Linked DNA regions of Saccharomyces cerevisiae S288C. The gene in region 4 interacts genetically with the main gene of each other region. Each region holds a gene or a part of one and is shown on either strand. Other genes may lie near its edges.

Region 1 (2,891 bases), on a different chromosome or scaffold from region 4:
CACCGAAGGCCAAAATATGAATATCCTCATCGTTACCTGCAGAGGCATGGCTACCATGCCATTGCTCTCGAACATCACTGAAGTAATTCTTCACTTTGTCCACAAAAGTCAAATCTTTCTGTAGTGGTGCGTTCTTGTTAGAGCAGTTCCATGAACACTGTTCTGGATGGAAAGATGGATAAGTATAGATGTAAATATTAGCGACGATAGTGAGGAAGGTGGCAAAATATGCAAACTTCTTGACCGCACACCTGAGCATCTTGGGATTCTTGGTACAATGCTGCTGCTGTTGTTTTCAGTTCTTCAATCGCGACCGGATAAATCGCTTGTAATAACTTAGTTTGCAATTTTTCTTAAAACTTCAGAAATCAAGTCACAATTGTAATGAATAATTTGGAAAACACAAGTCACCAAAAATAGCTCAATATTTGATAGTGACTAGGGGAGGAATCTAGCAAAAAAAACGTTCTTTATCTATATGAATATTTAGAAATTAAGATATGTAATTACTTTAAGATGTTCCGAGTAAGCAGAGGCGTTTCGCTCTATTTAAGCAACTGTTCCATTTTCATCTGCGCCAAATGATAAACAGTGTTGATTTCTCTTTCCAGGGCATTAATAAACAGAGTATAAATTTTAAATGCGTAGTATCTATTTGACATGACGAAATTGTAGAAATTCAACAGGTCCACAGTCAAAAACTGCTGCGAACCACGCATATAAATACCGATACATGTTACTACCAACGTCAAATACAGGAATCTTTTGACCAGAGTAATGAAGTTCATCAACAACTTGTAAAAGACATAAAATGTGAAGAAAATAAACAATAGTTGGAAAACTAACGGGTGTGATTGGCTGAACTTAGTAATAGTAGGAATCAACCATTGGATGACGTCAATGGCAGACTTTAGGCATTGTGTTACTACGGATAGTTCGTATTGCGGTTGAGTAGCGTCCATTTTTGGGTTGCTCACTTTGCCCTTTGGTGACTGTTACGAAATTTTTTTCAGTAGCTTTTTCTCTTCCAGTAATTATATTTTCTCTACAAAAAATATACTCACTACAAAAGCCAGCAAATAAATGATAATATTCGTACGACACTAGAGAATATGATATTGTATTAAGTAAATATATATATATAGAGAAGGAGAGAGAAAGACAAGAACAGGGCGGCTATTAAGCGTCGTCTTCGTCATTCATAGAGATAGCTGTCTGTGGCTTTTCTTCTTCTGCAACCTCAGGCTTTGCTTCCGGCTCTTCCGCAAATGAGTTGGATAGGAACTCTTTCATTAGGCCAGCCGAGGTTTCAAAATACTCAGCTTGAGCCTTGGCCAATTCCTTCAAATCTTCACTGAAGTTAGCGTGAGAAATAACCTCCTGCAAGCACACAGTAGCGTCTTCAGTGACTTGAGCAAACTGGTCTTCCAAAGTCTCCATTTGGACTCTCAAGGAAGCTTCCTTTTCTGGCTTCTTGTTGTTTGCCAAGTTAGTTCTTGCCACGTCATATCTTAATCTCATGGAATGGACATCCTTGCGGCACTTATCGGCCTTACCGATCTCAAAAGAGAGCCTTTCCCTCAAATTTTTATTGAATTTGGTTTGAATCAAGGTATCTTGTTGAATTCTAGCTTGAGCAATCTTAGCCTGCACATCACTGAATTGCAAGAGTGCCGAAGCCAAGGGTTGTTCCTCGGTGGGGAACATCTTGTTCAAACATTCACTGGAGTTCAAAGCCACTTTACTGAGGGCGTAGTTCAACGTCTTGGGTTCTTTGATGGGGCCTGGAGCAACTAAGATGTTTTGTGCCTCAGACGCAGATGTAGCATGAGTCAACTCTGTCAACTTGGAAGCCACGCTTCTTGAAAACTCGTTGACGGATTCGTTGATGTATTTAGGGTAATCGTACGATCCGTTTTCGTAGATAGCAGTTACACCCAAGAAGTGGTTGTAAATCAGTTTGATGGTGTCAACCTTATCTTCCAGCTCTGTGTACTCTCTTGGCAATTGGGAGATGTCCGTCACCTGGCCCAAACGTTCCTGGACCATTCTTTGGGTGGATTGCGCCAAACTGGGCAATTCCTGGGTTTTTTCGGAAACACTTGTGGATATTTCCTGTAATTTCTTGCTCAAAGAGCTGGCGAAGGCATTAAACGACATTGATGACTATGATTTGTTGCTTATTCCACTCCTCTGCCTACAAATCATATAGGTTATAGGTGAAGAAGGTTGCAATTTTCTTGTTTTTGACATCCCGATTAATCCACCGCTCGCTTCTCACGGTAATAAGGGAAAATGTCTGCCAGTATGAAGCAAACAACATTAAACTGAGAACATTGGTGAGTCAAGACCATAACTGGAAGACGTGGTATCAAGACGCCTTCACGGTAGTATGTGGAAGATTATGCGTTCATGGAAATGTGGGGGAATGCGCTGGGCACATCGCCAGCGACCCTCACACGAGCTGCTGTCGCAACTGTCGTTCGACCAGCATTACAAGATTAGGTCGAACATTGAGCTGCTGATACAGGACTACGCTAGTAAACCAATTGCGCCCCTAAACTACGAGTATTTCCTGCAATACAGGCCGCCGCTGACCAAGAAGGAGGAGTACATGCTGACGATCAAGACAATCAACCTGTTGCTTTCATTGACGTGTAAACGGCTTAATGCCATTCAGAGGCTACCGTATAATGCGGTAATCAACCCTCATATTGAGAGAACCAACTCTTTGTATTTGAAAAGCTTGCAAACGTTGCTATCAATCGCATACCCGTACGAGTTGCACAATCCTCCCAAGATACAGGCCAAGTTCACAGAACTGCTGGACGACCACGAGGACGCCATTGTGGTATTGGCAAAAGGTCTTCAGGAAATCCAATCGTGTTACC
Region 2 (3,239 bases), on a different chromosome or scaffold from region 4:
TGAAATTTTTTTCTGGTGGTTGTTAGCAAAGTAAAAACGAACAGGATATAGAGTGAATAAAGGACAGTGAGAAAAATGCTTTATTTGATCGGACTTGGTCTCTCGTACAAATCAGACATTACCGTTCGTGGTTTGGAAGCTATTAAGAAATGTTCTAGAGTTTATCTAGAACACTATACCAGTATCCTAATGGCTGCAAGCCAAGAAGAGTTAGAATCTTACTATGGTAAAGAGATCATCTTGGCTGATAGGGAATTAGTTGAGACTGGTTCTAAGCAGATCCTAAATAACGCCGATAAGGAAGACGTTGCTTTCTTGGTCGTGGGCGATCCATTTGGTGCCACCACACACACAGATTTAGTTCTCAGAGCTAAACGTGAGGCAATTCCCGTCGAAATTATTCATAATGCGTCCGTTATGAATGCAGTTGGGGCATGTGGCCTACAACTATACAATTTCGGTCAAACCGTTTCCATGGTTTTCTTTACCGATAATTGGAGACCAGACTCATGGTACGACAAGATCTGGGAAAATAGAAAAATTGGCCTTCATACTTTAGTGTTATTGGACATCAAAGTTAAGGAACAAAGCATTGAAAATATGGCCCGTGGCAGACTAATCTACGAACCACCAAGATACATGTCTATCGCTCAATGTTGTGAACAATTATTAGAAATTGAAGAGAAAAGAGGTACAAAGGCATACACTCCTGATACTCCAGCAGTCGCAATTAGTAGATTAGGCTCGAGCTCCCAAAGCTTTAAGTCTGGTACCATAAGTGAGTTAGCCAATTACGATTCAGGAGAGCCACTTCATTCGCTTGTCATCCTCGGCAGACAATGTCATGAATTGGAGCTGGAATACCTGCTAGAGTTTGCCGACGACAAAGAAAAGTTTGGGAAAGATGTGGCAAATGACCAAGAGTACTTCAAACCTGCGGCATGGGTCCCACCCACAGAAGACGACAGCGACGAGTAAAGGTAATGCACACGCTCATGTGTAGTTTCTTTTTTATAATGTATATTGAATAGATCCTTTCAGTCGGGTAACAATTCGATCCCAAACGAATCGGGCCCTAACGATATGTGTAAAAATGGCAATGAATGAACAAGAAGTTATAACAACAATTTCAGCCAAGAACAAGAGCGATCCTGGAGGAGATTATATACGGATACACAGGTACACAAGATGACGCAATTAAAATATTTGTTGCTGGTTTCTAGGCAAGGAAAAATCAGATTAAAGAAATGGTACACGGCAATGTCCGCTGGTGAAAAGGCAAAAATTGTGAAAGACTTGACACCTACGATATTAGCAAGAAAACCCAAAATGTGTAACATCATCGAGTATAATGACCACAAAGTAGTATACAAGCGATATGCTAGTCTATATTTTATTGTTGGGATGACGCCCGATGTTGACAATGAACTGCTGACCTTGGAAATTATCCATCGGTTTGTCGAAACAATGGACACATATTTCGGCAATGTTTGTGAGCTAGACATTATATTTAACTTCAGTAAGGTCTACGATATCTTGAATGAGATGATTATGTGCGATGGCTCCATCGCAGAGAGCAGTAGGAAGGAAGTACTGCACCATGTGACCGTGATGGACACCATGGAGAGCAACGATAATCTTGAAAGGGTATTGAGTTAGGACCACTAAAAAACAATGGAATGAAGAAGAAAGGAGAAGAATAAGATGAGAAGGGGGCAAGGGGCCCTACTATTATTACCGTCTGTCGCAAAAGCCGTTGCCCGGACAAAAATATCTTTTGCGAGCATCGGCACAACGTTGATTGGTCAGAGCGGTAAAAAGGAATGAATGTGAAAAATGTAAAGAATATATAGGCGATAAAATTATCATGCGAAGTGATGTACATATTTTTGAATTTAAGCATCAATAGGACGAAAGAATAGATTTCAGACTAAGATAAAATAATCGAGAATAATTAAAAGACGATAATGAAATTGTTTCAAAACAGTTACGATTTCAACTATCCATGGGACCAGGTAACCGCCGCTAACTGGAAAAAATACCCAAATGAAATATCTACACATGTCATCGCAGTGGACGTTTTAAGAAGAGAATTGAAGGATCAAGGTAAGGTCTTAGTTACTGAACGGTTGATTACTGTAAAACAAGGTGTTCCCAAATGGATCATGATGATGCTAGGAGGGACCAATATGAGTCATGTCAGAGAAGTTTCTGTGGTAGACTTAAATAAAAAGAGCTTGACCATGAGAAGCTGTAATTTAACGATGTGCAATCTATTAAAAGTCTACGAAACTGTAACATATAGCCCGCATCCCGATGACTCGGCTAATAAAACACTTTTCCAGCAGGAAGCCCAAATTACAGCATATGGATCCATTAGAAAGCTGTGTAATAAGATGGAAGATTGGTCAGTTCAAAGGTTTTGCGAGAACGCTAAAAAGGGTAAAATGGGATTCGATGCTGTTTTGCAAGTATTTAGTGAAAATTGGGAAAAACATGTTGATGACTTGAGCAATCAACTTGTCAGTAAAGTCAATGAAACCATGGAGGATGTTAAAATATCTGCAGGTACGCTTCTTAAAGGAACTGAAAGGAGCGGCAGAACCATCTTACAGCAAAATATTGACTTGTTTAGAGACGCATACAACCACGAAAATTAGAGATACAAATTCCTTGATCCCGCATGGCACTGCATACTACTTATATTCCTCTACTGTCTATCTATTCATTTGTTCTTTTGTTGTAAATAGAAAAGTAAATAATGACAATATTAAAAGCCTTTTTCAAAATTTAACGATCAATTAAAATATATAAGTTTTAAAAATACTTTACTTAAGCGTTAACCTTGTAGACGGAATGACACTTACCACAGTACAATCTGTCCTTGTGGTTAGCCAAGAAAACACCAGCACCACAAGTTGGGTTGCTACATTCTCTTCTCAATTTGGTAACCTTACCTTCAGCATCGACCTTGTAGTAGGACAAGACAGCCAACTTGACCTTCTTGTGCTTGTGCTTGATCTTCTTTGGGGTGGTGTAGACCTTCTTCTTTCTCTTCTTACCACCACCTCTCAATCTCAAGACCAAGTGTAGAGTAGATTCCTTTTGGATGTTGTAGTCGGACAAAGTTCTACCATCTTCCAATTGCTTACCAGCAAAGATCAATCTTTGTTGGTCAGGTGGAATACCTTCCTTGTCTTGGATCTTGGACTTGACATTGTCAATAGTGTCAGAAGATT
Region 3 (2,587 bases), on a different chromosome or scaffold from region 4:
CATCCATAGTGACAACTTCAGCATCGAACACAAATCAGCATCAACAGTCTGTGAATAACATAGAGGAACAGCCCAAGAAACGTCAACTTCATTATACCGCCCCAACAACTGAAAATAGCAATAGTATACGGAAAAAATTGAGGCAAGAAAAACTGGTAGTATCAAGCCACTTTCTGAAGCCACTACTGAATGAGGTAAGTTCTTCCAATGACACGGAATTCAAAGCAATAACAATATCAGAGTATAAGGACAAATATGTTAAGATGTTTATTGATAACCATTATGATGACGATTGGGTTGTTTGTTCTAACTGGGAAAGCTCAAGGTCAGCTGACATCGAGGTAAGAAAATCATCAAATGAAAGAGATTTTGGAGTCTTCGCTGCAGATTCTTGTGTTAAAGGTGAGCTAATTCAAGAATATTTGGGCAAAATTGATTTTCAAAAAAATTATCAGACAGATCCAAATAATGACTATCGTTTGATGGGAACGACAAAACCTAAAGTACTTTTTCATCCACATTGGCCTTTATATATAGACTCTCGAGAAACAGGCGGATTAACAAGATACATAAGACGGAGTTGTGAGCCCAATGTGGAACTAGTAACGGTAAGACCGCTTGACGAAAAACCAAGAGGAGATAATGATTGTAGAGTTAAATTTGTTTTAAGGGCTATAAGAGATATTCGTAAGGGAGAAGAGATAAGCGTAGAATGGCAATGGGATTTGAGAAATCCTATTTGGGAGATAATAAATGCATCTAAAGATTTGGATTCCCTACCGGATCCCGACAAGTTCTGGTTGATGGGGTCAATAAAGACTATTTTAACAAATTGTGATTGTGCATGTGGGTACTTGGGCCATAATTGTCCAATAACTAAAATCAAAAACTTTTCTGAAGAATTCATGAGGAATACGAAGGAATCCCTATCTAATAAATCTTACTTTAATACAATAATGCACAACTGTAAGCCATAAACGAAATTTTAAAATTAATAGTATTCATTTTAATCTTTTTTGAAAGCTTAATTTTATCATCATAATTTTTCTTCCAAAACTTCAATCTTGGTATTTTTTTTCGCATTGGTCTTCATTTTTTTTCTTTTGTTTTTAGCTTTAATGTTGAAAGCGTGAATATCAAAACACTTTTATAATAAATCACCACTTTGTAACTATAGAGAACAATTCATGCTTTATTTATAGATGCCACGATTAAGCATCAATCATTAGTTGAGAGGATCCTTAACGTTAAAATCCACCGCACTTTTCCTTTCAAAAAGCTGCATTGTTTCCATAATTCATTTCATGGCAGGTTAATGACTTATTTGATATGAAGAGTGAGGTTCTTATCAAATGAAATTCCTACATATGAATTTTTTAAAAGAGAGTTTTTCGTTTTACGATATTTATTTACTTCATCATCGTTTATCATTTTTCACGTAGCAAATTTTGAAGCTTCAACTTATAACTCATTTGCATCCGATTCACATATTTCAGCTGACTATAAATTTGGCAACAGCTTCGTGACTTGAGCATAAGAAAAACATAGACTTGTTGGATATAAAATATGGCTCACAGGGCTTTCATACAGGTTATAATCACAGGAACTCAAGTTTTTGGAAAAGCATTCGCCGAGGCGTATAGACAAGCGGCTTCACAATCAGTGAAACAAGGTGCTACAAATGCATCTAGAAGGGGAACAGGAAAAGGCGAATATGGTGGTATTACGTTGGATGAGAGTTGTAAAATTTTAAATATTGAAGAATCCAAGGGCGATTTAAACATGGACAAGATTAATAACAGGTTTAACTATCTATTTGAGGTTAACGATAAAGAAAAAGGTGGAAGCTTCTACTTACAGAGCAAAGTTTATCGAGCAGCAGAAAGGTTAAAATGGGAACTGGCTCAGAGAGAAAAAAATGCGAAGGCGAAAGCAGGGGACGCTTCAACAGCGAAACCTCCTCCGAATTCAACAAATTCATCTGGTGCAGATAATAGTGCAAGCAGCAATCAGTAGTCAAGGAAGCCTCCATCATTACGTCACAAGTGTTATCGAAAGCATGCAGCAGTGCATATATTTTCCTAGTTGGTTGCTTCCTGTACGTTAGGAATCTTCAACCACCATCCTTGTATTTAGTTAATATTAGTATATGTACCAAAGTAAATATACTCAGATGCCATCTCGATATACGCACCGTACACGAAAATGAAATTAAAAAAAAAATGTTGGAGCACAAGCAAGGCAGCATCAGAACGTACCGTCAGTTGGTACCAAGACAAGTCCATCCCCGTAGGCACTACAAATTATGGGAATGAGAAAGTATACAAAATATAAACTGTCTTATCATGAAGAAGAGTCGCTTAGGAATTTAAACTTTCAAATCGCATTACGCAATTCTCTAAAAACGCGAACCTTTCCCTGATATGTAATCAGGGAATTTCCTCAGAATAATATTCGATCTAAGAAACCGGAAACGAAATGAAAATTGTTACTACTTTGTTTAGGAGTAGTCAAAGTTCATTCAGCTATGGGTTATGATGAAATGATTTAAATTATTCTCGCTCCAGTATTAACTTATTACGTAATA
Region 4 (3,225 bases):
GGACAAAAACAACTGATATATTTCGATTAGTCACAGGCGATTGAAGCGGCATTGTTACGACGGCCGTTGATGCGCAAACACCTTTAGGATTAATCCAAGTGTTACCACCTCTCCCACGCCCAGAAACCTGAATAGTACCCACGTGAAGTAAAGTGCTTTCAGGGATCGAACTTAATAAGGATTTATTATTATTCAATATGGTACTCGTTGATGTAACAACTTCACCATATAGAAGTAAAGAACCTATGGTGTTTTGAACATTCAGATACTTGAAGTATTCTTTCATGTCAAAATTGGGCGTATATTGAAATGGTGGAATATCTTCATCTACGCCAGGAAATATTACGGTCTTAGGAACCTCATCTGGCTCTTTATGAAGCAAGGACGAACTTGCTGCATCGTAAGAGGCTCTATAGCCTCTATAAAATTGGAAAGAGTCAGTTTCGGCGTTTAATTCTGAGCAGAGTTCAACATTATTTGCATGCATTCCATGATGAGCTAAGTTGTTTTCCATTTCTTGCAAGTAATTCCGCTTATTAGGTGCACTAGCCATAAACAGTGGTGTCAAATTTGGAGCTCTTACATAATTGAAGTCATTATTACAATTCAACCCAGTTTTGGTAAGAACCGTTCTCATAAATTTCAACCTCATGATTTCCTGTGCTTTCAGGTTTTCCACAACGGTTTCAAGAAAATGCTTATCTGTGGATTTCCTCATAAAACGGACGTTGAATTCAGGGTGTGGTCCAGTGAGTAAAACCTTTCCTCTTCCGACCGTACATAGCACTACAGCAGCTGGGTTTTCACTTTGACCTTTTCCTGAGTCAGAAGAAGGCACATCCGGGTGTTCTGCGTACGTGGCCAAGATCTCGACATTATCAAATTTATCTGCATCAACAAAAACGGCTCCTCCATTGAAATAAGTTGAGAACTGTGAGCCATCTGGAAGATTCAATTTAACTGCACGTGCACCGGCCTCGCTGTTATACTGAAATCCATTGTACGCAGGTCCTCTGCTTGTTCCCGGAAAGAATCGCAAATCCCTGCTTCCTGATACTTCCATTGTAGGGTCACCTTGAGCAAATTCTACACGGCTGGTGCCAAAGTAACCTCCTGCACAAAATCCGATAAAGACACCACCTTGTTTGCTAACAAAATGTTTCAATCGAGAAATAATGGGTTGACAAGCTTGAACGTAAGGAAGATCGGCACCACCAGGAAAAACTACAGCGGAGGTCTTTGACATCCATGGTTCTGTCTGTAATACCTTAACATTGACAGTACTGACGGCGTAATAGGGTTCCAAAAAGTCACGTAAACTTTCAACAGCATGCTTAACTGATCCTGGCGTAGTCCCTGGGCCATTATAGACTAATACATTCATATTAGTTGAAATTGGATAATATTGATAAGATCGTTCTAATATCTTCTTTATTGGAACTCTGAACCTGTAACAACCAGTAAAAACCTTGCACTTTTGTATACCAAACAACTTTTGAGAACAATATATTACAGCAAAAGAAAAACTGACGAAGGGAGAAGGAAAGTAAAATATACTTATATGTGCGTTTACCCAACGTTTGGCAAACAATTACAGGAAGAAAAAGCCAAGTCCGTAGCTCTGGGATCTCTTACATGAAACCATATTAAATGTCAACCAACACTTCACAGTCATGTCTTCGAATCATTGTGCGGCGACTATTTCCGAAACTGGAGTGTGAAAAAGCTCGATTCATGAAGCCATCCTCTTAATCGGGAGTATACAATATTTACAATTGAAAAAATATAGAAAGGAGGCAATTGAGAAACAAGCAGGCCTGGTAGCATAGTTTGGTCCCTAATAATTTAGTCAATGATTCAAATGGTGCCCATTTATTCATGCTCCGCATTACTTCGGAGAACTATACCGAAAAGGCCATTCTATCATGTGTTATCAGGGTTAACTGTACGCTTTAAGGTAAACCCGCAATTAAATTACAATCTTTTCAGAGATCTCACTAGGAGGGAATATGCTACCAATCCGAGTAAAACTCCTCATATAAAGAGCAAGTTGCTCAATATTCCCAACATTTTGACTTTATCACGAATAGGATGTACACCCTTTATCGGACTCTTCATTATAACGAATAATTTGACCCCAGCATTAGGTTTGTTTGCATTTTCCAGCATCACTGATTTTATGGATGGGTATATAGCAAGAAAATACGGCCTGAAAACCATTGCAGGAACCATATTAGATCCACTTGCAGATAAACTACTCATGATCACAACAACTTTGGCATTATCTGTACCATCCGGCCCTCAGATTATACCGGTATCTATTGCGGCGATAATTCTGGGTAGAGATGTGCTACTAGCCATAAGTGCTTTGTTTATACGATATAGCACTTTAAAGTTGAAATATCCTGGTCGTGTGGCATGGAATTCCTATTGGGATATTGTTCGCTATCCCAGCGCTGAGGTCAGACCTTCCCAACTATCAAAATGGAACACGTTTTTCCAAATGGTATATCTTGGATCTGGAGTATTATTACTTTTATATGAGAAAGAAGAGGGCTGTGAAAAAACCGAGGAGGATTTCGAAGATAGAAAACAGGACTTTCAAAAGGCCTTTAGCTATTTAGGGTATGTAACCGCCACGACCACAATAATGAGCGGAGTATCCTACGCATTAAAGAGAAACGCTTTTAAACTTTTAAAATAGTATAATTGCGATCCTTTTTGAAAAGGGTCCTGACTTTTCATTTTGAATGTTTTTTAGTTTTTATGTAGTGGAAAATACACTAAATCAACATATATATGTATATATGCATAAACATATGGATACTGGGAAACCCATGTTAACGGCTGAATGCAATATCATCAATACGTAAGATGGATTTAACACATTCAGACGCTAAGGTAATTGCACTTGTACTAACAAGTACGGGTTGTAAGATGTGTTCTTCATAGGTGTTCGTAGTACCAGATCGTCTAACAGAGATACCGTCATTCAATTCACCATTTTCATGCTTAGAGCGCAATTCTGTGACAACTTTGATACTATTCAAACCTGCGTTTTCAGCCAAAGTCGTTGGAATAACTTCCAAAGCAGAGGCAAATTCTTGCCAAATAAAAGCCTGTACACCTTCCATAGACCTTGCTTCCTTACTCAACCTACGGGATATTTCAATTTCTGGAGCACCACCACCAGCGATTAAACCTCTCTCTTTCACTAGACAACGA

What was found.
Region 1: mutations in CRD1 (region 4) and APQ12 together harm fitness more than expected from each alone (negative genetic interaction), as found in Saccharomyces cerevisiae (2 studies listed by BioGRID).
Region 2: mutations in CRD1 (region 4) and UPS2 are lethal when combined (synthetic lethality), as found in Saccharomyces cerevisiae (4 studies listed by BioGRID, with this or other methods).
Region 3: mutations in CRD1 (region 4) and PAM16 together harm fitness more than expected from each alone (negative genetic interaction), as found in Saccharomyces cerevisiae (3 studies listed by BioGRID, with this or other methods).

What each region holds. Positions count from the first base shown.
Region 1 is NC_001141.2:275,794-278,684, reverse strand, and holds APQ12 (Apq12p), read right to left. Parts: upstream 963-2,891; coding exon 546-962; downstream 1-545. Other genes in the region: TED1 (Ted1p), read right to left, coding at 1-259; GVP36 (Gvp36p), read right to left, coding at 1,180-2,160; protein kinase PKP1, read left to right, coding at 2,393-2,891. UniProt on the Saccharomyces cerevisiae protein: Involved in the regulation of lipid homeostasis in the endoplasmic reticulum, thereby impacting nuclear pore complex biogenesis and localization, and nucleocytoplasmic mRNA transport.
Region 2 is NC_001144.5:498,999-502,237, reverse strand, and holds UPS2 (Ups2p), read left to right. Parts: upstream 1-1,967; coding exon 1,968-2,660; downstream 2,661-3,239. Other genes in the region: DPH5 (diphthine synthase), read left to right, coding at 76-978; APS1 (Aps1p), read left to right, coding at 1,189-1,659; ubiquitin-40S ribosomal protein eS31 RPS31 fusion protein, read right to left, coding at 2,833-3,239. UniProt on the Saccharomyces cerevisiae protein: Required for mitochondrial cristae morphogenesis and MGM1-processing. Controls the stability of mitochondrial phosphatidylethanolamine (PE). With UPS1, controls the level of cardiolipin in mitochondria.
Region 3 is NC_001142.9:225,761-228,347, forward strand, and holds PAM16 (import motor complex subunit PAM16), read left to right. Parts: upstream 1-1,566; coding exon 1,567-2,016; downstream 2,017-2,587. Other genes in the region: SET4 (Set4p), read left to right, coding at 1-977. UniProt on the Saccharomyces cerevisiae protein: Essential component of the PAM complex, a complex required for the translocation of transit peptide-containing proteins from the inner membrane into the mitochondrial matrix in an ATP-dependent manner.
Region 4 is NC_001136.10:201,198-204,422, reverse strand, and holds CRD1 (cardiolipin synthase), read left to right. Parts: upstream 1-1,852; coding exon 1,853-2,704; downstream 2,705-3,225. Other genes in the region: biotin--[acetyl-CoA-carboxylase] ligase BPL1, read right to left, coding at 1-1,384; chaperonin-containing T-complex subunit CCT4, read right to left, coding at 2,841-3,225. UniProt on the Saccharomyces cerevisiae protein: Catalyzes the synthesis of cardiolipin (CL) (diphosphatidylglycerol) by specifically transferring a phosphatidyl group from CDP-diacylglycerol to phosphatidylglycerol (PG).